Linked DNA regions of Callithrix jacchus. The protein of the gene in region 1 purifies or fractionates together with the protein of each later gene. This does not show direct contact. Links are inferred from orthologs where the notes say so. Each region holds a gene or a part of one and is shown in the gene's direction. Other genes may lie near its edges.

Region 1 (15,886 bases):
CAAAAAAATAAATATTAGTCCCTTCATTACTAATATAAATGAGGTGTTTTCTTTATTTCTTTTTTTTTTTTTGAGACAGAGTCTCGTTCTGTTGCCCAGACTGGAGTACAATGGCGTGATCTCAGCGCACTGCAACCTTCGCCTCCTGGGTTCAAGCAATTTTCCTACCTCAGCTTCCTGAGTACTCCTGAGTAGCTGGGACTACAGGCATGCACCACCACACCTGGCTAATTTTTTTTTTTTTTGAGATGGAGTTTCGCTCTTGTTACCCAGGCTGGAGTGCAATGGCGGGATCTCAGCTCACTGCAACCTCCACCTCCTGGGTTCAGGCAATTCTCCTGCCTCAGCCTCCCAGGTAGCTGGGATTACAGGCGCACACCACCATGCCCAGCTAATTTTTGTATTTTTACTAGAGACAGGGTTTCACCGTGTTGACCAGGATGGTCTCAATCTCTTGACCTCGTGATCCACCCGCCTCGGCGTCCCAAAGTGCTGGGATTATAGGCGTGAGCCACCGCTCCTGGCCTTTATTTTCATTTTTAGTAAAGATGAGTTCTTGCTCTGTTGCCCAGGTTGGACTCGAACTCCTGGGCTCCACTGATCTTCCCTCCTCAGCTTCCCAAAGTGCTGGGATTACAGGTGTAAGCCACTGTGCCTGGCTTTTTTTTTTAAATGTATTACTACTTTTTGTAAAGACTGTGTTGCCCAGGCTGGTCTCCAGTAAGTTCAGTTCTTGTAGATATAAAGCAGAAGTGGAAGCGTTGGGTCATTTGGTAGTTGTTTTTAATTTTTTGAGGAAACGCCATATCATAGTTTGTAGTGGAAGGTTGTTTTTTTAAATGAAACGAACATGTAAGGCAAGGCTGAAGCCTGTTTGTGGGCCGCGCAGATACTTCCTACTTCCCTAGAAAACCACAGTAAAGACGTTGCCATGTCTCCTTTCTGCCCGTTTCTTGACTGTTACCACATCTGCATGTCCATCAATTTAGTATTTCCTTTTTATTTTTCCTGTATTTTTTTCCTTATTATTATTATTTTTTTTTTGAGATGGAGTTTCGCTCTTGTTGCCCAAGCTGGAGTGCAATGGCATCATCTTGGCTCACCACAGCCTCCATCTCAAGGTTCAAGCAACTGCCCTGCCTCAGCCTCCCGAGTAGCTGGGATTACAGGCATGCGCCCCATACCCAGCTATTTTTGTATTTTTAGCAGAGACGGAGTTTTTCCGTATTGGTCACGCTGGTCTCAAACTCCTGACCTCAGGTGATCCGCCCACCTCCGCCTTCCAAAGTGCTGGGATTACAGGCGTGAGCCACCGCAACCGGCCTTTTCTTTTTCTTTTTATTATTTATTTTTGAGATGGAGTCTCTGTCTTCCAGGCTGGAGTGCAGTGGCGCAATCTTGGTTCACTGCAACCTCCACCTCTTGAATTCAAGTGATTTTCCTGCCTTAGCCTCCTGAGTAGCTGGGACAGGTGTCCACCACCATTTTCTTCTTTGGAAACAGTTTCGCTCTTGTTGCCCATGCTTGAGCAATGGCTCACTCCTGTAATCCCATCGGGTTGGGAGGCGAAGGTGGGTGGATCACCTGAGGTCAGGAGTTTGAGACCAGCCTGCCCAACATGGTGAAAACCCATCTCTACTAAAAATACAAAATTATCCCTGCATGGTGGCAGGCATCTGTAATCCCAGCTACTTGAGAGGCTGAGGCAGGAGAATTGCTTGAACCGCAGAGGTGGATGTTGCGGTGAGCCAACATCGCGCCATTGCCCTCCAGCCTCAGCAACAAGAGCGAAACTCCATGTCAAAAAAAAAAAAAAAAAAAGTCTCGCTTCATCCCCCTGTCCTGTTTAAGCCCTCCAGTCTGTGGTACTTGGTCATGGCAATGTGAGAGAAAGTAGCAATTGTTAAGCCAGGTTTGTTCGTCTCTGATTTCCCGCATAATTTCACAAAGCCCTTGACTCTGGGACATATCTCTGCAGCTCTCCAGAAAGAGGCTGTGAAGACAAAACAGGATAGAGCACAGGGCACCTGTCTCTTGCCCGAGTCACTGTATTCCTTAAATGAATCTGGGCGGTGGCTCATGCCTGTGATCCCAGAATTTTGGGTGACCAGGGTGAGAGGATTACCTTAGCCTGGAAAGGTTGAGGCTGCAGTGATCTGTGATGGCGCCACTGCACTCCAGCCTGGGTGATAGAGCAAGACCCTGGTCCAGGCCTTTTTCTACATATAAAATAACATCTAATGAGGTTAGGGGATTACGCTTCTGCAGTCTATAACCAGATGTACTCTTGCACCCAAACCTTGATGTGGCCAAGCACGGCGGCTCATGCCTATAAATGCAGCACTCGGCTCACTGCAGTCTCCGCCTCCCGGGCTCCAGCAATTCTCCTGCCTCAGCTTCCTGAGTAGCTGGGATTACAGGCACATGCCACCATGCTCAGCTAATGTTTGTATTTTTACTAAAGGTGGGTTTTCACTGTGTTTGCCAGGCTGTTCTCAAGCTCCTGATTTGAGGTGATCTGCCCACCTTGGCCTCCTGAAGTGCTGGGATTACAGGCATAAGCCACTGTGCCCAGTCTCCTCCTTTTTCAGAGACAAGGTTTTTGCTCTGTCACCAAATCCAGAGTGTAATGGCACAGTAAGAGCTCACTGCAGCCTCAACCTCCTTGGCTCAAACAGTCCTCCCACCTCAGCATCCCAGGTAGCTGGTACTACAGGCATGCAATACTATACCGAGCTATTTTTTTGTATGTAGTGATGGGGTCTCATGACATTGCCCAGTCTGGTCTTGAACTCCTGGGCTCAAGAAACACTCCCGCCTTGGCCTCCCACAAATGCTGAGATTATAGGCATGAGTTGACAGTGCCTGGCCAAGAAATAGATGTTACATCTCACACCTATTACATAAATCCATATTATATATTCATGTCCAAAAATAATCTTTCCTTTCTTGGTGCCTTCTTTCCAAAGCATTCCTCATCAACAAGTTCTTATTCTTTCTTTCCAGGAAATGATTTGCATATTTGCATGTATCTGCATATCTATGTGCTATTACAAATTTACACGAATTGGTTCCTATAATATATGCCATTTTATATGTCACTTCCTCTCTTTTTTTTTGAGATGGAGCCTCTCTCTGTTGCCTCAGGCTGGAGTGCAGTGGCATGATCTTGTCTCACTGTAACCTCCGCCTCCTGGGTTCAAGGGATTCTCCTCCCTCAGCCTCCTGAGTAGCTGGGATTACAGGTGCCTGCCAGCATGCCTAATTTTTTTTTTTTGTATTTTTAGTAAAGACAGGGTCTCACCATGTTGGGCAGGGGCTGGTCTTGAACTCCTGACCTCGTGATCCACCCACCTCAGCATCCCAAAGTGCTGGGATTACAGACGTAAGCCACTGCACCCAGCCTTTGCTTCCTCTTTTTATCTTGATGGTTGTTTTTTGCATGAGCACAAATGGATCTACCTCCTTAAAGATCAAATAGCAATTTATAGATTATGGCATAGCATAACTGCCTCTATTCCTATGGATGGGTGGACAAGTGTTTGCAGTTTTTGTATCATAAACAATACTGCATGGACATTTTACTCTCATGTCTTTGCATACATTTACAAGTTTGTTCACAGCGGGAATTATTAGCTGGTTCAAAGGAAAATTCATACGTACTTTAAAACTTTTTTTGAGATGGAGTCTTGGTCTGTCGCCAGACTGGAGGGCAGTGGCGTGACTCAACTTACCACCTCCGCCTCCTGGGTTCAGGCGGTTCTCCTGCCTCAACCTCCCAACTAGCTGGGACTAGAATCACCCGCCACTACACTCAGCTAATTTTTGTATTTTTAGTAGAGACGGGGTTTCACCATGTTGGCCAGGATTGTCTCGATATCTTGACCTCCCGATCCACTTGCCTCGGCCTCCCAAAGTGCTGGGATTATAGGCATAAGCCACTGTGCCCAGCCCATATGAGCATTTTAAGTTTTAGTAGATGCAGGCCAGGCAAGGTACCATGTGCCTGTAATCCCAGCACTTGGGGAGGCCAAGGCAGGAGAATTGCTTGAGCCCAGGAGTTCAAGACCAGACTGGGCAATGTCATGAGACCACATCACTACAAGAAACATAAAAATTAGCCAGGCATGGTGGCACATGCTTGTAGTCCCAGCTCTGTGGAAGGCTCCTGTAGGAGGATTGCTTGAACCCAAGAGATGGCGGCTACAGTGAGCTATGATTGCACCATTGCACTCCAGCTTGTGCAACAGAGCCAGACCTGTCTCAAAAAAAAAGTAAAAAGTTTTATTAGATGTCAAGATTCCATCCAAAAAACTTACATGATCTCATGCACTAACATTATGTGTGAGCATCTGTTTCCCTATAATGTCTTACATAGGTATTTATTTTTGAGATGAAGTTTTGCTCTTGTTGACCAGGCTGGAGTGCAGTGGTGCAATCTCACCTCACTGCACCTCCAAGGTTCAAGCAATTCTTTTTTTTTTTCTTGAGACAGACTCTGTCTGCCAGTCTGGAGTGCAGTGGCACGATCTCAACTCACTGCAACCTCTGCCTCCCAGGTTCAAGTGATTCTCCTGCCTTAGCCTCCTGAGTAGATGGGACTAGAGGCACGTGCCACCACCCCCTCCCCCCGGCTAATTTTTTGTATTTTTAATAGAGACGGGGTTTCACCATGTTAGCCAGGATAGTCTTGATCTCCTGACCCCTTGATCCACCCGCCTCGGCCTCCCAAAGTGCTGGGATTACAGGAGTGAGCCACTGCGCCTAGCCCATGATCCTTCTGACTCAGCCTCCTGAGCAGCTGGGATTACAGGCACCCGCCACCACGCCCAGCTAATTTTTGTATTTTTAGTAGAGATGGGGTTTCACCATGTTGTCCAAGCTGGTCTCGAACTCCTGACCTCAGGTGATTCAGCAGCCTCGGCCTTCTGAAGTCTTGGGATTACGGGTGTGAGCCACCGTGCCTGTCCTGTTTCCCTATGACATCTTTACTACCACTGGGTGATACTGAATTTTTAAAGCTTTGCCCAATCTGCTAGGTTGTTTGGATTTTTTGTTGTTCAGAGTACGTTTGACTAAGCTTGTACAAATGTTTATCAGCCCTTCAGACCAGCGTCATATTTTCACTGATATAGCCAGGCCACCCTCTTGAAAGGCTGCAGAGGCCTCTCTTTCCTGCTCTCCAGCTACTGTTTTCCCTTCCACTCAGCTCTCTACAGGCTTCTAGAATATTTTTTTTCACAAGAAACACTGGTGATATTCGAAACACTTGAGTGACCTCCTCACTCACACCCCAGAGGATAAAAAGCATAATTTTTTTCCCTGTCTTATTTTTTCTCAAGCCATTCTCCCTAACAAGTTTGTGTGTGTGTGTGTGTGTGTGTGTGTTTGAGACAGGGTCTTGCTCTGTTGCCCAGGCTGAAGTGCAGTGGCATGATCATGGCTCAACCCCTTGGGCTCAAGCTATTCTCCTACCTCAGCCTCCTGAGTAGCTGGGACTGTCACAGGCACATAGAAGTATGACCAGCTAATTCTTAAAAAGTTTTGTTTTAGAGATGGGAAGTCTCACTATGTGTTAGCCAAGCTGGCCTTGAACTCCAGGCTCAAGTGATCCTTCTGCTTCAGCCTCCCGAAGTGCTGGGGTTACATGCACAGGCCACCACACCCAGCTAATTTTTCTATTTTGCCATGTTGCCCAGGCTGGTCTCGAACTCCTGACCTTAAGAGATCTGCCCACTTTGGCCTCTCAAAGTGCTGGGATTACAGCTGTGAGCCACTGAGCCCCACATTGTCAGTTTTTTTTTTTGTTGTTGTTCATTATCAGCCTCCTTAGGAGAAAACCCAAATTATTCTAAAATTGAATTTAAATCAACCAAGTTAGTTTCAGTTTAATTAGTTACTATCTCCCTAAAGGCAGAAACTAAATACTTAGGAATAAGATGGGGCCAGGCGTGGTGGCTCACGCCTGTAATCCAAGCACTTTGGAGGCCAAGTTGGGCGGATCACCTGAGGTTGGGAGTTCACGACCAGCCTGACCAACATGGTGAAACCCCGTCTTGAAAAAAAAAAAAAAAAAAAGAATAAGATGTTGTCTGATAGAGCTGGCTTTGGAAGACCACAATATCTTAGTTTTTTTCCCCCTCGCTGAAAACCAGTTTTTGCTCCTGGGGAGTCATCATGAATCACTCCAGCTGAGGATGGTTGTTCTTAGAGCAAGGAGCTGAGCAATAAGCAAGTAAATGCACAAAATTATACCGGAAAGCCAAGAACACTACAACGAAAAGGAGGAGGAGTGGCTCATCGGGCCCCTTGACATCTGAATCTGTGGGATTGGGAAAGAAGGCAAGGAACAGTTTGCAGAAGGACTGTTTTCCCTGAGCCTCGGCTTTTTGTTTTTGTTTTTGTTTTTTCTTTCTTTTTCTTTTTTAGAGATGGTGGTGGGTGTGTGTCGGGGTGGTGGTGGTGGGGTTCTCACCCTGTTGCCCAGGCTAGCTACTCTCGAACTCCTGGCCTCAAGCAACCCCCATGCCTCAGTCTCAAAGTGCGGGGTTACAGGCGTGTGACACCTCACCCAGTCTCAGCCTCAGTTTCTTGAGCTGTAAAATTGCAATAATATCCTCCTCACCCTGCTTCATATACAATAAGCACTCGATCAGTGAACCTTGTTGTTATTATATCATTTTCTTTAACTTATTTTTCTGAGATGGAGTCTCACTCTGTAGCCCAGACTGGAATGCAGTGACGCGGTCTCGCCTCACTGCGGCCTCTGCCTCCCGGTTTAAGCGATTGTCCCGCCTCAGCCTCCGGAGTAGCTGGGACTACGAGTGCATGCTACCACACCCGGTTAATTTTTGTAGTTTTACTAGAAACGGGGTTTCACCATGTTGGCCAGGATGGTCTCGATCTCCTGACCTCGTGATCTGTCCGTCTCGGCCTCCCAAAGTGCTGGGATTACAGGCTTCAGCCACCGCGCCCGGCTTATTTTGGTTTTTAAAGGGTAGTAGGAGCAGCAGTGAAATCAGCCTCTACGCCCCCACCGCCCTTCCGCGCTCCCTGCTCTGGTACCAGCAGCTCCCAGCAGCATACACAGCCGCGTGCGCCTCCACCTCCGTCCGCAGGTGTCGCTGTGGATGCCGCGGCCGGCCCCACTAGGCGGTGTCCGCGGAACCGGAAGTCTCCTTTTACACCCACTTCCGCTCTCTAGCCCGGGCTTGGGCTGCGTGGAGAGCCCTTTTGCGATGCCTACTGGAGATTTTGAGTGAGTTGGGGATCACGGAAGCGGGTACGGGAGGCGGTTACAGGGCTCTGGGAAGTATTATGGGGCCTGGGTGCGCCGAGGCCGCGGGGGCTTGGCCTGGCTGACTTAATCTTAGCTCCCCACACACTTGTTTCCGCAGTTCGAAGCCCAGCTGGGCCGACCAGGTGGAAGAGGAGGGAGAGGACGGTAAGTGAATCCGTTTGCCCCAGGTCATCGCGGCCAGGCCCGAGCCGGTTCACTGCTGCCTGTTTCCATCTCCCAGACTGGCACCGTGTTCGCCGTCACGGCCAGCCCCTGCCCCGCGCCTTCATCCTTGGGGCTCGCCTGTTGCCAACTCCAGATGTTCCTTGGCAGGTCCCTCTTCCTCCCATGCCATTGCGCTAGCCCTCCCAGCTGTTCCCTTACTCCAGGGAGACAATTGTAATCTCCTGTCTCCTGTTTCTCTCTGGCGCCTGGATGGCTTCATGGCGTGGCCCCCACCTTCCTACGAGGGATTCCCCCATCCTGGCCACTCCGCGTCCCCACAGGGCCATCCCAGTGTACTACCTGGCCAGTCCTCTGCCCTTGGCCTGCCTTTCTCAGCTTTTGCTGTAGGCGTCATCCCAAAGGCCCTTCCATCTCAGCTGGGGAGCTCCTGCCCCTGGAGCTGACCCCTTCTCCCCACGCTGCTTCTCGCAGACAAATGTGTCACCAGCGAGCTCCTCAAAGGGATCCCTCTGGCCACCGGCGACACCAGCCCAGAGCCGGAGCTGCTGCCGGGAGGTGAGTGAGGACTGCCACTCCGTTCCGGGCTGCCTCTCCCTCCAGCCGTGCCGCTCCTGATGCCCGTGACCCAGGGCTCAGTTTCTTGCTCTTTTTCCCCTTCTCCAGCTCCACTGCCGCCTCCCAAGGAGGTCATCAACGGAAACATAAAGACAGTGACGGAGTACAAGATAGATGAGGATGGCAAGAAGTTCAAGGTGAGGGTGGGAGGGGGCAAGGAGTGAGGACCCTTTTCCTTGGGGACCCTGAGACCAGAAGAGGTTGGGGTGTGTTGAGTGGGTTGATAAAGGAGCTCCTTTGGTTCCAGGAGCCTGACCCTTCTCCTCTCCCATCCTCAGATTGTCCGCACCTTCAGGATTGAGACCCGGAAGGCTTCAAAGGCTGTCGCAAGGAGGAAGGTGAGATCCTCCTTCCCCAGGGATAACACAGAGGAATTGGAAAACTGTGTTCCCTGGACCTTTGTTTTTAAGAGATGGGACTTAACTCTGTACCTGTTGTGAGTCTGAACTGAGCCTTGGGTTCTTGTATTCTTATGGGGTCTTGAAAAGTTCAGGGCACAGGAGTTGATGATGATGCACAGTAAAAATGTTCAATGATGGGCAGGGGTGCAGTGAAAGTAGCCATGTGTGGTGGTGTGCACCTATAATCCCAGCTACGGGGCAGGCTAAGGCAGAAGAATTGCTTGAATCTGGGAGACGGAGGTTGCAGTTAGCTGAGGTTGCACCATTGCACTCCAGCCTGGGTGACAGAGTGAGACTGCATCTCACCAAAAAAAAAAAAAAAGTTTGATGATAAATATCGAATGATAGTAATATCAAATAAATTAGATTAAAAATATTGTAAGTTAGATTCTTTTATTTTTTTTTTAAAGACACAGGGTCCAGTCCTGTTGCCCAGTCTTGAGGGCAGTGGCACAGTCAGAGCTTACTGCAGCCTTACACTCCCAGGTTCAAGCCATCCTCCCACCTCACCCTGCTGAGTAGCTGGGGTTACAGGTGTGCACCGCCACACCGGGCTAATTTTAAGTTTTTGTAGAGGTAAGGTTTCTCTATGTTGATCAGGCTGGTCTCCAGTTCCTGGGCTCAAGAGCTTCCACCTTCACCTCGCAAAGTGCTGGGATTACAGGAGGGAGCCCCTGCGACCAGCTGTGGTTAGATTTTTTATTCCTCTTAGCCTGTCAATGGAGGAATGGAGCCAGAAGGTGGTCACAGCAGTTTCTGGAAGAAGTGATATCAATTAATACACTTGGGACAGTTTGCTGTGCGCTTAGTTTGTACCATACCTCATGCCAGCCACCTGGCAGGGTGTTTCTCATTTGATGTCCTTAGAAGCCCAGGGAGGTAGGAAGCTTTTGTGGTTCCTGTTTTACAAGGGAGGAAGCCAAGGCTCAGGCTGGGTAGCTCAAAGGCCTGGAGGTCTGGGTGGAGCCCCTTCACATCCCTGAATATTGAACCCTAGTGGGAGCTTGTCCGCCAACATGAACAGGCCCCAGGCTGTGTAGCTCTCACCTGGGGCCCAATGCTGACAGCTGCCCTGCCTCCTGGAGCTCAGGCCTGGCGGGGACTCAGGCAATAGGAACTGTCAACAGAACTGTTCAGGGAGTGGTTGAGGAGGATGAAAATGAGGTTCAAGGCCCAGACACTCCGGGGAAGGCTGTAGGTCCGGGACACCCCACTGTGGAACCCTGCCTGCCCCTGCCCTCAATTGTCCCCCATTCCTCCCTGAGCCCAGAACTGGAAGAAGTTTGGAAACTCAGAGTTTGACCCCCCAGGGCCCAATGTGGCCACCACCACTGTCAGTGACGATGTCTCTATGACGTTCATCACCAGCAAGGAGGTAAGCAGGGCAACCAGACTGGGCTGGGGTCCTGGGGTGGTGGCAAATGGGGTGCCTCAGCCACCTCTTTGAATTCCCCCAAACCTGCCCCTGCCAGGACCTGAACTGCCAGGAGGAGGAGGACCCCATGAACAAACTCAAGGGGCAGAAGATCGTGTCCTGCCGCATCTGCAAGGGCGACCACTGGACCACTCGCTGCCCGTACAAGGACACGCTGGGGCCCATGCAGAAGGAGCTGGCCGAGCAGTTGGGCCTGTCCACTGGCGAGAAGGAGAAGCTGCCCGGAGGTGCGTGGACAGGGGTGCTGGATGCTGTTGTGGGCTTGGTGTGTGTCGGGGGTCCTTGATCATTGCCTGTTATCTCCTGCATGACAGCACAGTGGGTTTGACAGTGCCTGTCTTTCTTTGAGGTGCCTTTTACCTTCCTAGTTGGCTGCATCTCCTGTAAGGTTGGGAGATAGGTATCTCCTGTTTATATGCGACTTGGCAGCTGTGACTCTGCTGGTGGCCGTGTGACTGTCCTGATGTGAGCTGCTTGAGCTGCTGTCAGTTCCAGAGTGCTGACCCCTCCATCCCCTTGTGTATGTGTGGTGTGTTACATGCCTGTGACTCTACCATCTGAATCCTTCTGTGGGATTAGCTGGTGGTGAGTGGGGATGTGTACTTGTTGCCTGCCATGTGAGGGCAACCTGGGCACTGTCCCGTGTGTCCCATGATGCCATCGCTGTAGATGTGAGGCTGCTCTCCCTGTGACCCCCTGCCCTCTCAGGAGGGGGGTTGGGACTTTTCCTCCCCTGCCTTCACTAGTGTTGCTTGCTGGGAGCTCAAATGGTACCAGCTTTCTGGGTGTGACCTTGGTGTCCCTTTGGCCAACCGGCTGCCTGTGGCTTGGCAGACAGTGCCTGCTCTCGATCAGCACTGGAGCCCCAGCTTCCTGGGGCAGCTCTGTCCCTGTGCCTGTGCCAGGGTGAAGTTGAACTCAGCTGTCTGTTGGTCCGCAGAGCTAGAGCCGGTGCAGGCCACCCAGAACAAGACGGGGAAGTACGTGCCGCCAAGCCTGCGTGACGGGGCCAGCCGCCGAGGAGAGTCCATGCAGCCCAACCGCAGAGGTGAGGGGTGTCCCGACACCGGGCTGGTGAGTGGGCACCTCCGAGAATCCCTCATTATCCCCGAGGTGCACACGAGGGCCAGGCAGGGGACTCCACTCACAGCCACCTCCCCTCACAGCCGATGACAATGCCACCATCCGTGTCACCAACTTGTCAGAGGACACGCGTGAGACCGACCTGCAGGAGCTCTTCCGGCCCTTTGGCTCCATCTCCCGCATCTACCTAGCTAAGGACAAGACCACTGGCCAGTCCAAGGTAGGTGGGCAGGCACGGGGGGCGGCGGGGGGGGCGCTGTGGGGCAGGGCTTTGCCTGATGACCCCACCCACGCCTCCCCTCTGCAGGGCTTTGCCTTCATCAGCTTCCACCGCCGTGAGGATGCTGCACGCGCCATCGCTGGAGTGTCTGGCTTCGGCTATGACCACCTCATCCTCAACGTCGAGTGGGCCAAGTAAGATCCGACCCCTGCTCTGCCCCTGCCCCTGCCCCTGCCCCGGGTCCCTGTCTTGTCCCAGCACCGCCACTGAGCCTGGGGCCAACCAATAGTCCTATAGCAATTTAATAGTCCCCAGGTTGGTTTTGAGGGGACAGTCCTTGTCTTTTTCCAAAACCTGGCAGAGGGGTACTGGGTGGCAGCTCTTGTGCCCCAGGGTCCCTGCCAGACTTTGGGCCAGGCTTTGAGACTGGCCATCTGACTGTGTCCCCTTTGTCCTTGTATTACCCCATCTTTGCTCCCACCCACGAGGTGCCACTTGGGTGTCGGGAGTCTTGGGGTGCCCCCCAAGGTCTCACACCATGCCACCCTCCTCCTGCCTTCCCCAGGCCATCCACTAACTAAGCCAGCTGCCACCGGATGCTCGGCCTAGGACCCTTGGCGACAGAAGGCAGCCTCTGAGAGCATGGGCTCCAAGGGCAATAAAAAGGCTCCTCTCTCTCTACCCCGTCCTGTTTATTCTTGCATCTCCAGTCCTGTGGCAGGGCCAGCCCCTCCCCTTCCCTGGGTGTGGGTTTGGTCCCTGACCCTGCAGAGTCTCCATGGCCAGCGCTCTGAGTGGGAAAGGCGACTGCCGCCTGGGCTGCAGCAGGCCCAATCTGGCTGCAGTCACAGGCATTGCTTTCTGGGGGAAGTGGCACCTTGGAATGACACCTGGAATGTGGCTTCAGCCAGGCCACATCACAGGCTCACCTCATGGGACAGGCTCGGATGGTTCAGGAGTGGCTGTGGCATTCAGGGGCAGGGCTTGGCCGGTGCTCTTGCCATCCTCTGGCCTCCGGCTGTCTCTGTAGCCGGGGCAGTGTTGGCGGCAACAGCCGAGGCTGGGCACCACGGCCATGTAGAGCAGTGGGTGGATGCAGAAGGCCAGGGGCATGAGGCCTCGCATTGCCTGGTAGCCCACGTAGGGCCCCAGCTCCAGGGCCGCCATGGCCTGGCCCACATCCGTAAAATTTGGGCAGTGGCTGTCCCAGCGTCGCCGAGCCTCCACATTGAGCACCCGCATGATGTGGTAGGGTACATAGGAGCTGGTGTAGAGGGCCACGCCACTAGCCACCAGTGCTGCCACGCGCAGCTTCTCGGCCGCGGTCATGCCCGTGCTGCGCAGCACGGCCAGTCCGAGGGCACCATAGGCCGCCAGCGTGAGCAGCAGAGGCAGGACACAGCCCAGCCCTGCCAGCACCAGGCTATATGCTCTGTAGGCTGCCAGCCGGTGGCTGTCTGCTGTCCCCAGACACTTGATGCAGGCCTCGGGCCTGGCCACGCTGCAGGTGCCCACCCCCTGCTGTGGCCTCTTCAGGTGGGAGAAGCTGAGCGTGGGTGCGGCCAGCAGGGCAGCCAGGACCCAGCCTGTGGCACTCAGGGCCCAGGCGTGCTTGGGCCGCAAGTAGCTGCGGGTGAAGAAGGGGTGCACGATGCCCACGTAGCGGTTGAGGCTGATGCAGGTGATGAAGATGACACTGCCCAGCAGGTTGCAGGTGAAGAGGAAGCGTTCCAGACGGCACATGGCCTCCCCGTAGCGCCAGTGCTTGGGGGGATAGAGGTAGGCGGCCAGTGGTGGCAGCGTCAGGGCGCAAAGCAAGTCACTGACTGCCAGCTGGGCCGAGAAGACCACAGCGGGGTGCCATGGGCGCTGCTCAAGGGTGCTGAAGCGGTACAGGGCCAGGCCATTGCTGGCCACGGCCACCAGGAACTCAACCACCAGTATGGGCCACAGGAAGTCCCCCTGGAATGTATTGAGGATGTGGTCAGCAGCCACCAGGAAGTTGACAGGGCAGGCCTTGGCACCTGTGGGCAAAAGGTATCAGCAGCTGAGCACTCACCTCCCATAAGGCAGCTCCTGCTGCCTCCCGAGCCCATGCCCACCATGGCACGGATCCTGACACGAGTCCTTTCCCCTTGGAAGGGGATCAGACTCAGAGCCAGGGTTCTGCACTGGGCCCCAGTGGACCAGCTGGGGCAAGCCAGTGGCCACCCAGCTCCCCCGCCACCCTCATCTCTGGCCCCACTAGAGACCTCCTCCCCGAAGTCCAGCCCTGGCAAGTCCTGCCAGCTTCACTTCAGATCTGTGCTGCCTGACCCGCAGACTCTTCTCCCTGTGGCCACCAGAGGGCACCTGCGAGTGCTGGAGTCCTGTCCCCACCTCTTTTGCTTCCAGCTCACTTAGCTGTGGAGTGGCCGCCAAAGAGCCAGACTCACCCCACAAGATCACATGGGTACACTGCCACTCACCACACTCCCCAATGCCATCCTCTCTGCCCCATGACTCACTCCCTCACACTGGCCCACTCTGGCTTCCCGCCTGCTCCTGCAGGCTTGTGCCTTGGGACCTTCCCATCCAGACTTTTTTTGAGACAGAGTTTCACTCTGACGCCAGGCTGGAGTGCAGTGGTGCTATCTTGGCCCCCTGCAACCTCTGCCTCCCGGGTTCAAGGAATTCTCTTGCCTCAACCTCCCAAGTAGCTGCATCACCGCCCCCCCCCAACCCCCGGCCTGGCTAATTTTTGTATTTTCAGTAGAGATGGGGATTCCCCATGTTGGTCACTCTGACTTCTAAGGATTTTTAGAAGTCCTTTCTGTACTGGCAAAACTTGAGCAGTGCTGGTAATCCCAGCAAGGGGGCACAAAGGTTGCCTCCAAGGGTTTAATGATTTGCTAAATTTGCATTTACCCCACCCACCTCTAGGGTTTTGGAGCTTACTTATCTAGCTCTGGTTTCCTACGCCAAAACCAATGTTTGAACCACTTTGACCTCTGACTTCCTTTTCAGGCTGGTCTCGAACTCATGACCTCAGGTGATCCGCCTCAGCCTCCCAAAGCACTGGGATTACAGGCATGATCCACCATGCTTGGCCACACCCTGACATTCTTGAGGCTCCCTCCCCCACGACTGTGGTCCTGCCTGCAGACACCCCAAAGTGTGCCTGCAGCCTTCCCTGCAGCATTTTCCCCCATATCGTGCTTCCACCTAATGACAGAAAAACCTCCCTCCTCTGGGAGGATGAGGGCTCTGCCTACCCACTACTGGCACCAGTGCCCACCACAGTGCACAGGGCACAGCAGCACAGGGGCGCTCACTCTGGGGACAGGCTCCTCCTGAGGTGCTTATCCACTCCCAACCATAGCCTGCTCAGGGAGGAAGTGCCATCTATACCTCGCTTTTTTCTGGAGACAGGATCTCGCTGTCACTGAGGCTCAAGTGCAATCACAGCTCAGTGCAGGCTTGAACTCCTGGGCTCAAGCGATCCTCCTGCCTCAGCCTCCTGATTAGCAGGGACCACAGGCTCCTGCCACCACAAGCAGCCTCAACCTAGGTTTTACCAATACCCATCCCCCACTGCCCCCACCTTTTAATAATCTGCAGACCCCTGGATAGGCCATCATGCCTTCTCACCTGAGTGGTTGGCTGCCATGCTCCCACGCTGTCTGTGCCGAGCCTGAGCCTGTCTGCAACCCAGTTCCGCTGTGCCTCCTGAGTCTCCTGTGGCCAAGCCCCAGTCCCTCCCCCAGTTCCGGGGCCAGCCAGCAGAGCAGGCGAGAGCATCCTGTTTCCACCCACGTTTCCTTCCTCATTGTGCCACAGCCAGCTGGGGATTCAAGCTCATCTGCTTAAAGCGTGACCTCTGTCTGCTTGCAGGGCTCTTGGTGGCACCGTGGGGAGGGGCTGCCCATGCCCAATGCTGCCACCAATGACACCACCCAACCCCATGCAAGAAGTGGGAGAGGGGAGGGACCCAGCTTCCAAGAGCAAACCAGGTGGAAGGGACTCCCAGGTGTCACCGGCCCAGGCCTCTCTGGGTTGCTTTGTAGGGCTCCAGGATCCCCCATCCCAAAAGCTGACGTGGACCCCTGGCCAGTTCAGTCCTTTATTGGAGTGGAAGGGTTGGGGACACAACTCCTTTATGGCGTCTCTCGGGCCCCAATCTGGGGCATTCAGTCTATCCACTGCTCCGACACGGCTCGGCCTCATGCTGCTCTCTTCTGTGGCCGGCCCCGTCCCCGTCCCCGTCCACGATGCCAGGAAACCCCCTTGGGCCCCAGCCTGCCCTGGGCCCCCTGGGGCTTGTCCTTGGGCAACTTCCAGTCACTAAAACGACCCTTGCCTCTGTCCGTTTCCCGCCGCTTCCAGCCCGGACACTTGGCTGGCTGTTTTGGCTTTGCCTCAGGGAACAGGTCTGCGGGGAAGAGACCATGTCAGGGCCCCAGAACAAGGACGGGCCCCGAGGACCCCACTGCAGACCCCACTCCATACCCTCACTGGGCGCCTCGCCAACCGCCTGGCGGAAATACTCTATGTCATCATCTTCCAGGTCATCATCAGACTTGCTCAACCACGGGCTCGGCCTCCCCGGGGCCACTTCGCGACTGCTCCCAACCTGTGCCTTCTTCATGCCCTCCAGGCTCTTCTCCCTGAAGGAGGGATTGGGTGGT
Region 2 (15,764 bases), on another chromosome or scaffold:
TGGGTTGTGTTTTTCTAGTGGGTAGAGTTATTATGCCACAAAAGCAGAACTAGTTAGACTGTTTATTTTGTGTTTGCTCACTCAAGTGTGACAGGCTATCCTCTGCTTCCTGTCCCCATGCAGTAATCACACATGGGCAGGGCCCACAGCTTAGTTTGGAAGGCCCTCATCAGCCTTTCTCTTTTTGCCTGTAACTAAATTAGAAATATTTCCAGCAATTACAGAAGTATGCTAAAAACATTAGTTTCTGTGACAGAGAGAATGATGAGCATCTTGTTGGGAATAGCAATTTTATTTTATATAATAAATAGCAAATTTATTTTATATAATAAATAAATATCCATAATGAAATCAACACCCACAATATTGAACTTCCTTATGGGAGGGCAGAAAGACAACTTAACGGTTGTGACCTACCATCTTTGGATGATTAAGTATATTCAGTTTCTCATAATCTGTTATTTACTTTCTCATGCATACTTCAGTTTTATTTTGTTCTTATTTGTCTAGGATCTTAAAGAGAAAGCTTAGATGACACATTTCCTCTTTCTAATGTAGGCAGTTAGCTATAAACTTCCTTCTCAGCACTGATGTATCTGTGCCCCATACATTTTAAGATTTTGTATTTTTATATTAATCTAGTTTAATTTGTGTGTATGTTTTAAATTTTAAAACATACTCACAAAATTTCCTCTTTGATCTGTGGATTATTAGAGGTATGTTGCTCAGTTTCCAAATATTGAGAAAATTTTGTTATCCTGTATATTTTAATTCCTTGTTTAAATCTATTGTGACTTGAGAACATACTATGAATAATTCAATTCAGAAATCGTTTAATTTGTTGAGGTTTAAACTTGCTGAAGTTTGTTTATGGTTCAGGATATGACCTTTATATTCTATGGACACTTGAAAACTGTGTATATTTCATACTTGGAGTATTCCATAAATGCTGATTTGATCCTGTTGGTTGATGGTATTGCTGAGTTCCTTATATCTTTGATGATTTTCTCTCTAGTTGCTCTATCCATTGTTGAGAGAGGGAGTTAACATCTCTATCCATAATTATAGATTTGCCCATTTTTCCTTTCAGTAATATGAGTTTTTTCTTCACGTAAGTTCTGATTTCTGTTGGGGCATACACATTTAGAACTCTGGTGTGTACATCGTGATTGACCATTTTATCATTATGTGATGTCTCCTCTGTCTCTGATTATTTTATTTTCTCTGAATATTTCCTTATCTGATATTAATATAGCTGCTCCTGCTTTCTTTTGATTACTGGTTACATGATATATTTTTTCATCATTTTATTTTCATTATACTTATATTACTATGTTTGAAGTGAGTTTCTTATGGACAGCCTATGGATAGATCATGTTTTTATCCATTTATCCATTCATCCAATTGTTTTCCTTTAATTGGTATATTTAAAGCATTTATATTGGCCGGGCATGGTGGCTCATGCCTGTAATCCCACCACTTTGGGAGGCTGAGGCAGACAAATCACCTGAGATCAGGAGTTCTAAAGCAGCCTTGACAATATGGCAAGACCACGTCTCTACTAAAAATACAAAAATTAGCCAGGCATGGTGGTGGGCGCCTGTAATCCTAACTACTCTGGAGGCTAAGGCAGGAGAATCACTTGAACTTGGGAGGCAGAGGTTGCAGTGAGCCGAGATTGAGCCATCACACTCCAGCCTGGGCAACAAAGTGAGACTCCGTCTCAGAAAACAAAAAACAAAAACAAAAACAAAAATCAAACAAAAAAACCCCCATTTATATTAGCATAACTGTTAATATATTTGGGCTTAAGATTGCCATTTAAGTTTTTCTCAGTTCATTCTTGCTGCTTTCATTTCTCTCTTTTTCTTCATTCTTGTGGGTTACTTGAACATTTTTAATAATATATTGATTTATTTATGTTATTTTGAGTGTATCTCTTTGTAAAGCTTTTTAGTGGTTTCTCTAGGGATTTCATTACATTTAAATAACTTGTCACAGTTCAGTGTTTGTCATTTTACCAGTTTGAGTGACGTGTAGAAACTGTACCTCTCTATATGGCCCTTAAACATGTCTATTTAAATGTAATTGCCTTAAATATTTCTTCTGCAGACATTAAGAACCATGCTGGACAATCTCATGATTTTTGCTTTAACCATAAAAAATAATTTAGAAAACTCAAGAGGAGAGGGAAAGACTACTATAATTCTCCGTGTTTTAATTTACTGAGTTCTTTCTTCTTTAAAAATGGTTCAAAGTTTTGTTTGTTTCTTGTTTTTGTCGTCTCCTTTCTTTATAACTTCTTTTAGCCATTTTTTCAGAAGAGGTGTGCTGGTGACACATACTCGCAGTGGTTTTTCATCTGAGAATGTCTTGATTTCCCTTTTATTCTTGGAGGATATTTTTGCTGGATATTTGCTTCTCAATAGACATTTTTTTTTCAGCAGTTGAAAAATGTACAATTTCCTTCTGACCTCTGTGGTTTCTAATAAGAAACTCACTTTAATTCTAATTGTTTTTCCTATGTAAGTAAGGTGTTATTTCTTTCTTCTGCCTTCAAGATTTTTTTGGTTTTCAGAAGTTTGACTTTGATATGTCTTGTTATAAATTTCTTTGGGGGTATCCCTTTTGGACTTTGCTAAGCATCTTGAATTCGTAGGTTATGACTTTTGCCCTATTTGGGGTGTTTTCAGTCATTATTTTTTCAAATACCTTTTTACCCCTGCTCTTTTTTTTTTAGACAGTCTCCCTCTGTTACCAGGCTGGAGTACAGTGGTGAGATCTAGGCTCACTGCAACCTCCGCCTCCCGGGTTCAAGCAATTCTCCTGTCTCAGCCTCCCAAGTACCTGGGACTACAGGCCCATGCCACCACACACAGCTAGTTTTTGTATTTTTAGTAGAGACAAGGTTTCACCATGTTGACCAGGCTGGTCTCCATCTCCTGACCTCATGATCTGCCCGCCTAGGCCTCCCAAAGCACTGGGATTACAGGAGTGAGCCACCACACCCAGCTGTTGATAGGATTGTTTGATTTTTTTTTTTCTTTTTTTAAGACAGGCTCTCACTTGTCACCCAGGCTGGAGTACAGTGTCGCAATCTTGGCTCACTGCAACCTCCACCTCCCAGGCTTAAGCAATCCTCCTACCTCAGCTTCCCTAGTAGCTGGAACCACAGGCACACGCCACCACTACCCAGCTAATGTTTTGTATTTTTGGTAGAGATGTTTTCTCACAGTTGCCCAAGCTGATCTCACACTCTTGAGTTCAAGCAATCCACCCGCCTCAGCCTCCCAAAGTGCTGTGAGCCACCACACCTGGCCTGTTGTTTTTTTTCTTTTAGTTCCACAGTTCTCCAAGGCTCTGTTCATTTTTTGTGCCAGTCTATTTTTTTATTATGATAAGATATATTTAACATTTAATTGTTGTGAAACTAGAGTAAAATTTTAAAAAATCAAAAAAATATATGTAACATAAATGTTAACATTTAAACTCCCACGAATGTTCAATTCAGTGCCATTAAGTACATTTACATTGTTCTTCAACAATATCACTATATCTCCAGAACTTTCCCTCATCCCAAACTGAAACTTGGTACCCATTATATAATAATTCCCTAGTTCTCCACCATCCCAGGTGCTGATAAACACTATTCTACTTTCTTTCTTGATGAATGCTACTGTTCTGGAAATACCATCATTGAAATAATACAATATTTGTTCTATTGTGGCCAGCTTATTTCACTTAGCATAATGTGTTCAGGCTTCATCTATGTTATAGCATGCATTAGAATTTAATTCCTTTCTAAGGCTGAATAATATTCCATCGGATGCTGTATTAGTTTGTTCTCAGGCTGCTGTAAAGAACTCCCTGAGTCTGGGTAATTTATAAAGGAAAGAGGTTTAATTGACTCACAGTTCCACATGGCTAGGGAGACCTCAGGAAACTTACAATCATGGTGGAAGGGGAAGCAAACACATGGTGGCAGGAGAGAGAAGTGTTGAACAAAAGGAGAAAGCCTGTTATAAAACTGTCAGTTCTCATGGCAACTCACTCACTATCATGAGAACAGCATGGGGATAATTGCCCCCTTGATTCAATTACATCCCACTGGGTCCCTCCCATGTTATGGGATTATGGAAACTACAATTCAAGATGAAATTTGGGTGGGGACATAGCCAAACCATATTGTATGTATATTCCACATTTTGTTTATCCATTCATCAGCTAATGGGCATTTGAATTGTTTCCATTTTTTGGCTATTGTGAGTAGTGAGGTTATAAATGTCAATGTACAAATATCTGTTTGCATTTCCACTTTGAATTCTTTTGGATATATACCTTAAAGGGCAATTGCTGGATCATTTGGTAATGCTATGTTTAATTTTTGAGGCACTGACATATTGTTTTCCACAATGGTACATCATTTCATATGCTGTTAAGCTGCTGTACAGACTAGGTCATTTCTATCAGTCTATCTCTGTTTTACCGACCTCTTTCTTTTTTCCTTTTGATTCTGCTGTTTAGCCCCTTCATTGAGTTTTTAATTTTGGTTATTGTACTTTTTAGGTTCTAAATTTCCATTTGTTCTTTTTGTTTTTTCTTTCCTTTCCAACTTTTATTTTAGGTTTAAAGCGTACATGCACAGGTTTGTTACATGGGAAAATTACAAATAATTTTGACATCCAGGTAATTATTTTAATACTTGATAGGTAGTTTTTCAATCTTCACTCTCCTCCCATCCTCCACCCTCAAATAGGCCCCAGTATCCATTATTCCTTTTTTTGTCATGTGTACTCAGTGTTTAGCTCCCAGTTATAAGTAAGAACATGTGGTATTTGGTTTTCTGTTTCTATGTCAATTCACTTAGGAAACATCCTCCAACTCACCCATGTTGCTGCAAAGGCCATGGTCTCATTTTTTGTATAGCTTCACAGTATTGCACACTGTATATGTACTACATTTCTTTATCCAATCCACCACTGATGGTCATCTAGGTTGATTCCAGGTCCTTGCTATTGTGAATAATGCTGTGATGAACATATATGTGCATGTGTCTTTACAGTAGAATGATTTATATTCCTTTGAACATATATACAGTAGTAAGATTGCTGGGTCAGGACTGGCCTGGTGGCTCACACCTGTAATCCCAGCACTTTGGGAAGCTGAGGTGGGTAGATCACGAGGTCAAGAGATCGAAACCATCCTGGCCAAGATGGTAAAACCCCATCTCTACTTAAACTATAAAAATTAGCTGCGTGTGGTGGTGCACACCTCTAGTCCCAGCTACTCAGGAGGCTGAGACAGGAGAATCACTTGAACCCAGGAGGTGGAGGTTGCAGCAAGCTGAGATCGTGTCACTATACTCCAGCCTGGTGACAGAGCAAGACTCTGTCTCAAAAAAAAAAAAAAAATGCTGGGTCAAATGATACTTCTATTTTAAGTTCTTTGAGAAATCTCCAGACTGCTTTCCATAGCAGCTAAACTAATTTACATTCCAACCAGTGGTGTACAAGCTTTCCTATTTCTCTGAAACCTCACCAACGTTATTTTTTTACTTTTTAATTATAGCCATTCTGACTGCTGTGAAATGTTTTTATAGCCATTCTGACTGGTGTGAGATGACTGGTGGATTGTGCCAGTTCCAAGCTCACCTTTCTATACAATGATTTGCATTTAGTAATATTGAACATTTTTTCATATGCTTGTTGGTGATGTGTGTATCTTCTTTCGCTAAGTGTTTATGTCCTTTGCTGGTCCTTATTTATATCTCATATATCTTCGATAAGTTGAATTTGTTTTTTGAAAATTTATTTGTTTCAAGTGTGTTTGTAATTGTTTATTGAAACATTTAATGAGGGCTGCTTTAAAATCTGTCAGCTAATTCTAACTTCTCTGTCATTTCAGTGGCATATATTGATTATCTTGTTTCATCTAGTTTGAGATCATCTAGTCCATGTATGCTTCGGTTCTTGGCGAGATGAATGATTTTTAATTGAAACATAGACATTTGGGTATTTTATTTTTTACTGAACTCTGGACCTTATTGGGACCTTCTGTTTTTGCTGGCTTCCTCTGACACCGTTCTGGCAATACAAGGGCAGGGAATTAGGTCCTTCTTGTTACTTCCTAGAGAGGTTACAGTAACACTGGGCCTCCATTGCCTCACTTGGGAGGTGGTTCTCTGTTGCTAGTAGAGGGATGGGAGTTCCAGATCCTGCTAGACCTTCACTGATACCTCCTTGATGAAAGGGCTAGGAGAGCCTCATTACTGCTCTCTGTGTTGCCCCCACTGACAAATGGGTGACCTCATTACTACTTGGCTGTGATGAAATTCTGGTTAGGCTTCCTCTAACATCACACCTTCGGGGAATAGCATAGGTGCCTCATTACAGTCTGGTAAGGGTGAAACTCCAAGCTCCCCTGACAGTGTGCAGAGAAGAGGATTTTGTTGGAGGTTTCAAGTTTTTTTTTTTGGTCTGCCTGTTGTTGTTTTCAGTCACTGAATGTTAACTCCGGGTCTGGGATATACGTGACAAATAGAAACCTTGGGAAATCACCACCTTGTTGTACTTTGGGTCCTGAGGTCCCTAGCCGGTCTTCTTTCTTCTCCACATTTTTTTTCAGTCTCCTTATGTTTCTTTTATATATAATGTCCAGGCATTTAGTTGTACTAACTAGGCAGAATTGGCAAAAATATATCTACTTCATCTTTCCAGAAATAGAAGTCTGAATTCTGAAAACATTTTGAAGATGGAGTCTATAGGATTTTCTGATGGATCAGAGATAGGGCATGAAAGAAACAGAGTAGTAAAAGATGACAGAAAACGTTTTTGGCCTTATCAACTAGAAGAATGAAGCTGTCATCAAATGAGATAGGGAAGACTATGGGAAGAACATTTTTGGGGATGAGGGTGGTGGTATCTGCAGCTCGATTCTGGAAAGATTGAGAGGTGCCTATTGGAAATTTAGATGGAGATGTTGACTAGGTAGATGAGCATGCTAGTGTGTTCAGTGGAGAGGTCTGGAGAATATAAATCTGGGAATCAGACTATATGTGATTTTTACAGTCCTGAGAATGGATGAGATCACCATAAAAGAGAGCAAAATTAGGGGAAAGAAGATTGTTTAAGGTCTAAATTTTGCTACTCTTCAATATTTAAAGGTGGAAAGGGGTAGAAAAATCAGCAATGGCAACTGAGAATAAAAGAGGTAGCCAGTGAGATGGAAATGAAAGCAGGAATCCAAGAGAAGGAAATGTCATTACTTCTGGGCCCTTTCTAGTCCAGGTGATCATATTGATTATATTGATTTCTTAATTCAAATTCTACTTCATATACTCTGTCTCTCTCTGTCTCTCTCTCTCTGTTCTATCTCTTACATGTAGTCTATTTCATAAAGGGGGCTCACATGAACTGTCTCAGGACAGATGAAAATACCCCATTTTAGTGTGTTTAGCACACATGGCTGGAAAACCTTAGTTGGATATTTTCAAGGACACAAAATTTGCAAAGAAATTTTAAACTTTAGTTTGTAGTTTTATTGTTATGAGGATATTGGTTTTATAATTTTGAAACAAAACTGGGTTATGTATGTTGTAGGATAAAGTAATAAATAAATGTATTATTGTTTATAAGCAGTCTGGCTGTTTTCTGATGCTCATCATTCCAGCTGCCTAGTGGTAGGCAAAAACCTCCAGTCTAGTTCTTTTTTTTTTCACCTGGGTGCAGGTGGGCTAAGGTCGAAAAGGGTGTTAGCCTCCAGTCTAGTTCTTCCATGAGAAATTTTCTTTTTTTTTTTTTTCTTTTTGTGACCTTTCTATTACCAATTTCTAGTGTAATTCTACCAGGATTAACCTTCAACACCTCTAAATTTGTGGACTGTCTCTGTGACCTAGGATGTGGTCTATTTTGATAAATATTTCATATATACTTAAAATGAATGGATATTAACTTTCCATTTTGTGGTGTTGAGAATTTGTAACATATAACTATTTCTTCTCCCAGACTGAAATATAACACCAGATCCCAACGATAAAAACAACAAAACACTTCAAGGCAGGATATGCCGTTTATTGATTTAACTATTTGCCAGTTCTGTGTATATCTTGATTGAATTAATAAGCATTTAAAAAATAAGGGATAGGAAAGAAGTCATTAGGAAGTAGAAAAGAATGTTTTAAATTGCTTATCTAAAAAGGCTCTTACAGTTGGCACATATTCTTTTAAAGACTTGAGATGTGTATTTCAGAATAATGTGTCATAAATCAGCGTGATTTTTAGAAAATGTTCTGTATCAACCTTCAACAATACCTAAAATAACTTCTTTGATACTTATGTAAATATCTACATGAAACTAATAGCAAAAGGCTACTATTTCTGGTAATTCTGGAAAAAGTTTCCATATCTTAATTAATTTCTGTATAATCTAAGTGTTTATACAGGTAGCTATCTAAAATTACGTAAAACAAGCTATGCAATATTGGCTCACCGCTAACAGAATAGTGTCGGGTAAACCACTTCTCAATTTTCTAATATGCACAATGCGAGCTAGTACAGCACTTCATTGCAAAATCAGAAATGAAAGCGTTTTTACGAAAGACACGCTACAAAAATAATGCGAACTGTAACGCTATTATGACCGTTCGCCTAATGGTGAATGATTAAACATTTAAAAACTTTACTTTCATCTTAGATCACTCCATTGGAGAGAGGCAGAAAATGTACGGTAGGCACGCACAAAGGCTACCACCTGGAAAGACGATAAAACTAGAAGAGAGGAGGGAGGCGGGGCCCAATTTTGGCTTCTCCTTCCAGCTCCGCCCGTCGAACGCTAGTCTGCCAGTGACGTCACGCGAGACTTGTACTTCCGCTTCCGGTAACTCATGTTTCTCTTTCTTCCTGTCTGCCTAGAAAGATGGCGTCCCGCAAGGAAGGTACCGGCTCTTCTGCCACCTCTTCCAGTTCCACCGCCGGCGCAGCAGGGAAAGGCAAAGGCAAAGGCGGCTCTGGAGATTCAGCCGTGAAGCAAGTGCAGATAGATGGCCTTGTGAGTGCTGTTTGGTATTCTCTGGCCCACGTGGGGAGCGCAGTTCCCAGCCCCGTCCCGCCCCGCCAGCCGTACTTTCCAGCATTCTGCCCCCGGACTTGGTGTGGCTGGGCCAAAGTTTTTCCCTAGTACCTTTCTCTTTCATCTTCACTTTTTTTCAGAAGACGCGACAACCTTCTCTTATCTTCTATCGGGACAGTTGTGGCTTCAGGAAGGGGGACTGAGAATAGGGTGTGAGTGACAAGTTCCTGGGGTCTTGTTTTGAGTTGCCTGGAGTGGGGATTAGGAGAAAGACTCCTGGAGACAAGCAGCTAACGAAGGTGTCGAGAAGGATTTAGGGACTTAGCAGGGCTCTGGGAAGGAAAGAGTAAGGAAACTCCACTGCTTCCCTGCTGGGATCTGACATCTATAACTTCCCAAATGGAGATGTACTTTGTAGCCACTCTCTTGAGCCTGTACTTCGGCGCTTTAAATGAAACCGCATAATTAGAATGGACTCTTTTGTAGTGTTTATTCAGAAAAACATAAAGTAATATCAAAGAGAAGGACCTAAAATGTATTTAGTAGTTAAGGTTCGTGAACTAGGACATCTAAGGAAATTCTTGATAAGGGAATGGACTTAGCTGGGAAAAGGATAACCTAGAATGAGAAATTTTATTTCTGTTGTTTCGAAGCAAAATACATTTGTATGACATTCTCGTTTTAAAAACATCTTTCCTGCCTCTCTTTTTAAAAAGCATCTTCTCTCTCTTTGATTTTTTTAAAGGTTATTTCCCATTAATGCAGATCTTAGATACTTGCAATAAGGAAGTATTTTAAAATTCATGTGAATATTTTAATTGCACCGTGCTATTTTTAAGTGGAAACTATTCATAATTTAAATCCAGCATATAATTGAATCTGTTGAACTGACTTAGTTAAACTGGATACAAAAGTGTAGCCTAGTGGTTAGGAGCTCATTTAGTCTTCTAGGGTCTTCCACTTAACCAGCTCTGTGACCTTGGGCAAGTTAACCTTTCCAAGCTTTGCTTTTCTCATCTGTCAAGTGGGAATGAGAAGGGTTTATGTCATAGAGTTGTTTGGGTTAAATAAAAAATTTATGTGGTGACCTCTAGCACAGAGTAATCAATGTTACGATTATTAAGAGTTTAACGTCTATGGTTAGCAGAGCTTGAAAGATGCAGGTGAGAGATTAACTTTGGAATGTTTTGCTCTAAGTGTCACTTGTGTAATACGTTGAAAATGCAGTACTATCTGGTCTGTGTACTGGCACTCTGGCTTTCCCTGGCTCATGGGAAGCAGATGTTTGTTCAGGAACAAATGATGTGTCTTTAGAGATTACAAATCTCTAAAGCTGGTGGGTGGACTTAGATTACACTTGTTAAAATAAGTACCACTTACACACTTGGGAAATGTTTATTCCTTAGGAGCACATTTCTTATTAAATTTGTTATGTCACAACAGCACTCTTTGAGTCACTTAGTTTTCAGAGTTGAAAAAGGCAAAAGGTCGGTGGCATTAAATCTATTTGGAGGTCATTTATTCAGTAAATATTTTAGGACATTCTTCTAAGTGCCAAATATTGTCTAACAGGGCAGTGATAAAAGCACATCAGTAACAATTTCCTGGCAACTTTAAGAGGGATTGTTAAAAAGAGACCTGCAGGTGGAGATGGACTGGATCACTTCAAGTTTCACAAGTAGACAGTGGGCTTAGGAAGGTCAAGAGAGTGGTTCTCAATTTCGTGGATTCACAAATTACTGTTTTTTTTATCAGCTCTCTCACAATTGATTAATGCCAAGGAACCCGTTAATCCTGCTCACAGGGGATTGGTTTGTACATGTGAATGTTGATTTACTCATTTACTGTGGAAGATAAACCTTTACAGTGGTGAAAATGCTTATATGTACCACCAAAAGGACCATTTCTGATTACCGAAGCACCTTTGAAATCGGCTAAAAAATCAAGTGACTGGGTGCAGTGGCTCATGCCTGTAATCCCAGCATTTTGGGAGGCCGAGGTGGGCGGATCACGAGATCAAGAGATTGAGACCATTCTGGCCAACATGTTGAAACCCTGTCTCTACTAAAAATACAAAAATTAACTAGGTGTGGTGGCACATGCCTGTAGTCCCAGCTAATTGGGAGGCTGAGGCAGGAGAATTTCTTGAACCCAGGAGGCGGAGGTTGCAGTGAGCCAAGATTGCACCATTGCTCAAAAACAAAAAAAAGATCAAAAGCTTATCAGTGACTCCAAAGTCAATCATGATAAGAGCAGGTAAAGGATTATTTTACTTGAGAATTATTTATATGCAGATTCTTGATGAACTTAGTGAAAGATCTCTTATTGCAGAGTTGCAGTAGTGGGTAACTCTGCTTTTTTTCTCCACCGGTTAGGTAGATATTAGCAAAATAAATTCCTAACAACTTTTCCTCTCTTTGGACATCTGCCTTTCTGTCATTTATATAATTTTAGGCAGCTAGATTATGATGCAGTTGCAGGGTTCCTTTATCTTTTTTGCTCATATTTTAATTGTGAATGGTTTCCAATTATCATAAATCCAGTAGGGAACATTTAAGTAGTATGTTCTTTATGCCATATACTGGGTTAGATACAGTGAATACTGGTTACTCTAAATTTTATTAATGGATGTTTTGTACATGGAGTCATGTACATACTGTCTCTACGTGGAAGGCATAAAGGTGTATTCACCTTTGCCCAAATACAGTTTTAAAAAACTTCCTTAAACTCTGCTCTCCCTTTCTTTCTTTCTTTTTTCTGTCTTGGTTAACAGTGTTACTTTTCGAAAAGCAATGTTACATATTAGCTGAGAGAATCCTGAAGACAGGTTTGGATTCAGATCCTTATTCCAGCAGTAAGCATGACGTTTTGCAAGTTATTAAATTTTCTAGGTCTCAGGTTTATCCTTTGTAAAATGGGGATGATGATAAAGTACTCCCTAATAAGGGTTTTGAGAATGAAATTCTGAGGTATGCAAAGTGTTTAATAGTACCTTTGTCGTTATAAACACTCAGATTACTGTCAGTGGCTTTGCCACTCTCATCCTTATTAATGTTTCTTGAGTTATTCCGAATGCTACCTTTGTTACTGTAGATTGAAATTGTAGAAAGAGCACTGAAGTGATAATCAGGAAACATGCATTCCAGTCTGCATCCACCAGTAGCTTACAACACTTCTCTGATTGTTTTATTCAGAAGGTACATTTTCTTATCCACAAAATGATTGCCAGTATCCCTATCAATTTTAATAGTGTATCTTTTCTTTCTTTTGCTTTCATATCTTAATGCTGAGGATTCTTACCAGCGTGTGACCCCAGTCAATCACTATCCTTCCTTTTAGGCCACTTAATCCTCATCTTTTATATTAGTGTCTCTTCTCCATCTGTGCATGTTGGAGTGCCTCATGGTTTAGGTTTTGGCTTTTCTTTTAGTCTCTGCTTGACATAGGTAGCGTAATGAAGTTGATAGAAGTGTGTGCTCTGGAGCCAGACTGCTTGGGTTTGAATCCCAGTTCTGAAATTTGCTGAATGACATTGGGCAAGTCTTTGTGCCTCGTTTTCCTCATCTGAATTGTTTTGGACTGAATATATGTCAATAACTACAGCAATGTCTGGGACAGAGTAAGTCACCACTTAAGCTTAGCTGCTGCAGTTATTTGCAGTAATTATAGTAGTATTCTTCAAGGTATTCTTATCCCTGCTCGTGGCTTTAAATATTACTTATTTCTAATAAGTCATAGATTTATATTTTTGTCAGTAATGGCTCTTAAATGCCCATTGCCTATTTGACATCACTATTTGGATGACTCATAGGCAGCTCATATTTAACATGTCCAAAATAGAATCATAGACTTGTTCTTCTCCTTACTTTCTATCACAGCACCCTATATTTCTTTCTGGAATTTCCCACAGCCTGTAACTATCTTGTTTTCTTTCTTCTCCATCAGAATATATGCTACTGAGGGCAGAGACTGTGCTTTGTCACCAATGTTGTATCTCCAGTACTGAACCTGTTAATTGACAGAGTTGGATAAATGAATGAGTATGAATTCCGTTTTATTTATTTATTTATTTAATTTTTTGAGATGGAGTTTCGCTCTTGTTACCCAGGCTAGATTGCAATGGCGCGATCTCGGCTCACGGCAACCTCCGCCTCCTGGGTTCAGGCAATTCTCCTGTCTCAGCCTCCTGAGTAGCTGGGATTACAGGCATGCACCACTATGCCTAGCTGATTTTTTGTATTTTTAGTAGAGGCGGGGTTTCACCATGTTGACCAGGATGGTCTCGATCTCTTGACCTCGTGATCCACCCGCCTCGGCCTCCCAAAGTGCTGGGATTATAGACTTGAGCCACCGCGCCTGGCCCCGTTTTATTATTTATAATACTCCCAGTTTATGTTCTCATATCTTATATAGGTTATTTTAATATTGTTTTCCCCTGCCCTCTTCAGTCTAACATTCATACTTTAAAATATTCATTTAATGTGAACATTTAGATTTGATCTTCTTTTCTTAGATGTTTTCAGTGACTTTCCATTGACTTTAAGGCCCACCAAAATGTTCTTACTTCTTGTATCTGTGTTCAGGTTTATTTCCTTTCTTTCCAAGCTTTGTGGGAACTCTATGTTCCAGACACTCAGACTACTTGGTTTTTCCTTTAATAAGTCATGCTAAAGACAGACCTAGATTCACATCCTTATTCAAGCAGTAAGCATGACCTTGCTTTTGTTCATGAAGTTCTTTCTCTCTGAAATTCCTCTTTCATCATCACATACTGAATAAACAATGTTACCTAATAGACTTATGCTGTTTTTAAAAAAATTCTCCATCTAGTTTAACTTGAATCTGTATACTCCAGTTGTAATCTTTTCTTGATTCATTTAACAAATATTTATTGATTGCCAACCATATGCCAGATCTAACCCTGCTAGATACTTCGGTATGTTGGTGAGCAAGGAAGAAAAAAGTCCCGACCCTTGTGACCATTCTCAGCCATATGTAGATGTAGGAGGTGAACCTGGAGATTTATCTCATCCTATGTTCAGCCTGATGTTTAATCACATTTGTTCCTTCCTGGCACACTGATAGTGGCCAAGACCAATTTTTCTTGTATTCTTGAACCCTTCCTTTTCTGCCTTTAGACCTATTTTATCAATTCCTCTGTATCGGTAATATAGCAGTCCCTCAGCATCCACAGGGAATTGATTCTAGGACCACTGCATATACAAAATTCGAGTATACTCAAGTCCTACAGTTGGTCCTATGGAACCCTGCGGAACCCACCTATAGGCAAAGTTGGCCTTTCCTATATGCAAGGTTCACATCCTTAAACCTGTGCAATTCAGGCTCATGTTGTTTAAGGGTCAGCTGGATGCTCCATTAGCACATACACTCATCAGGACTTTCCCATATTAAAATTTTAAGCACTGTCTCTTTTAGCTCCCCATGTTCCACTTCTTTGCCCTGGCTTTTTTTCCTCTTTGTTATGGTTAAAGAACCATTTTGTATTTGTGGTTTTCATACTTGAACATTATTCCTGTTAGAATTTGCCACCACAAACTCCCTGAATTATTATGACTTTTTAAAGACCATTGATAACATTAGCAAAGAACTGTAAAATATATCACAATGTCATTCACAGAAGTTAGCGTCTAAACGTTCAGTTATTCACTGTTCAACTTGTGAAATAGAACATTACAAGTATCTTTGAAGCCCTTTTGTCTTTTTCATCCCTTCCTCCAGGCCCTTCTCCCACTATGTGAGTCACTATTGGAGAGTTTTATTTTAATGATTCTTTTTTTTTTAAACTATCTCCAGTAATGGGTATAAGCAAATTTTTTTTTTTTTTAAAGATGGGGTTTTACCATGTTGACCAGGCTGGTCTTGAACTCCTGACCTCAGGTGATCTACCCACCTCGGCCTCCCAAAGTGCTAGGATTACAGGCATGAGCCACCGAGCCTGGCTTTTTTTTTTTTTTTTTAGCAAATTTTAATGTTTCTTTTGTGGCTTTACCACATGGACTATTAAACAGTTTGATTACTTTCACTTGTCTATATGAATAAATATGAATTAAATCATAGTTTATATTCTCCTGTGTCTTGAGTCTTGATATGTCTGTCTCACACTATGATTGGTGGGACTTGAGGATACTCATGGACCGTTATGGACCGTTATACTAAGAATCATAATGTCAAATTACTTTCCTAAGTATTTGTACCATTTCACATTTGTCCTAGCAGTTTATGAGAAGTCCCATTGCTTCACATCTCTTCTACCTTTGGTATGGCTAGAAACCCATTTTTGTCAGTCCAGTAAGTTGAAATGCTCTCTGTCAATAATCTTTTAATTGTCCATTCCAGTAGGCCTGTCAGTGTAGCTCTTCCTGTGTCCTCTGCAAGAGTCGGTGCTCGGTACTTCCTTGTGAAATGGAAGAATGGGGCTTCATTCTGTCAGGTGGTCTCCTTGTTCCCAGATAAGATTAAGCTAATTCTTCCTGTTAAACTTTTCTTGTTGAATTCACTTTGTTCCCTAGAACATTTGACTTTTACCTTCCTTATATTTATTAGACTCTTGCTATTCAAAGTATGATCCGTGACCAGAAGATGAGCAAAGTTGTTACACTTTAATTTGTTAGAAATGGAGACATAAAGTATCATAGAATCTCAGGCCCTCTCCTGATCTACCAAATCGGGTGATTTAT

Evidence for each region.
Region 2: the proteins of EIF3G (region 1) and EIF3H purify together in Homo sapiens (affinity purification with mass spectrometry; 8 studies listed by BioGRID and IntAct, counting the BioPlex papers as one, with this or other methods). This does not show direct contact. The link is inferred for Callithrix jacchus from reciprocal best matches to the Homo sapiens genes EIF3G and EIF3H.

What each region holds. Positions count from the first base shown.
Region 1 is NC_133523.1:9,301,840-9,317,725, reverse strand, and holds EIF3G (eukaryotic translation initiation factor 3 subunit G), read left to right. Parts: upstream 1-7,195; 5' UTR 7,196-7,238; coding exon 7,239-7,258; intron 7,259-7,397; coding exon 7,398-7,444; intron 7,445-7,936; coding exon 7,937-8,020; intron 8,021-8,128; coding exon 8,129-8,217; intron 8,218-8,358; coding exon 8,359-8,418; intron 8,419-9,751; coding exon 9,752-9,856; intron 9,857-9,953; coding exon 9,954-10,143; intron 10,144-10,856; coding exon 10,857-10,964; intron 10,965-11,082; coding exon 11,083-11,219; intron 11,220-11,306; coding exon 11,307-11,413; intron 11,414-11,519; exon of another isoform or gene 11,520-11,784; coding exon 11,785-11,800; 3' UTR 11,801-11,900; downstream 11,901-15,886. Other genes in the region: P2RY11 (P2Y purinoceptor 11), read right to left, coding at 12,150-13,243, 14,850-14,868. UniProt on the Homo sapiens protein: RNA-binding component of the eukaryotic translation initiation factor 3 (eIF-3) complex, which is required for several steps in the initiation of protein synthesis.
Region 2 is NC_133517.1:80,674,434-80,690,197, forward strand, and holds the start of EIF3H (eukaryotic translation initiation factor 3 subunit H), read left to right. Parts: upstream 1-8,887; 5' UTR 8,888-8,913; coding exon 8,914-9,045; intron 9,046-15,764.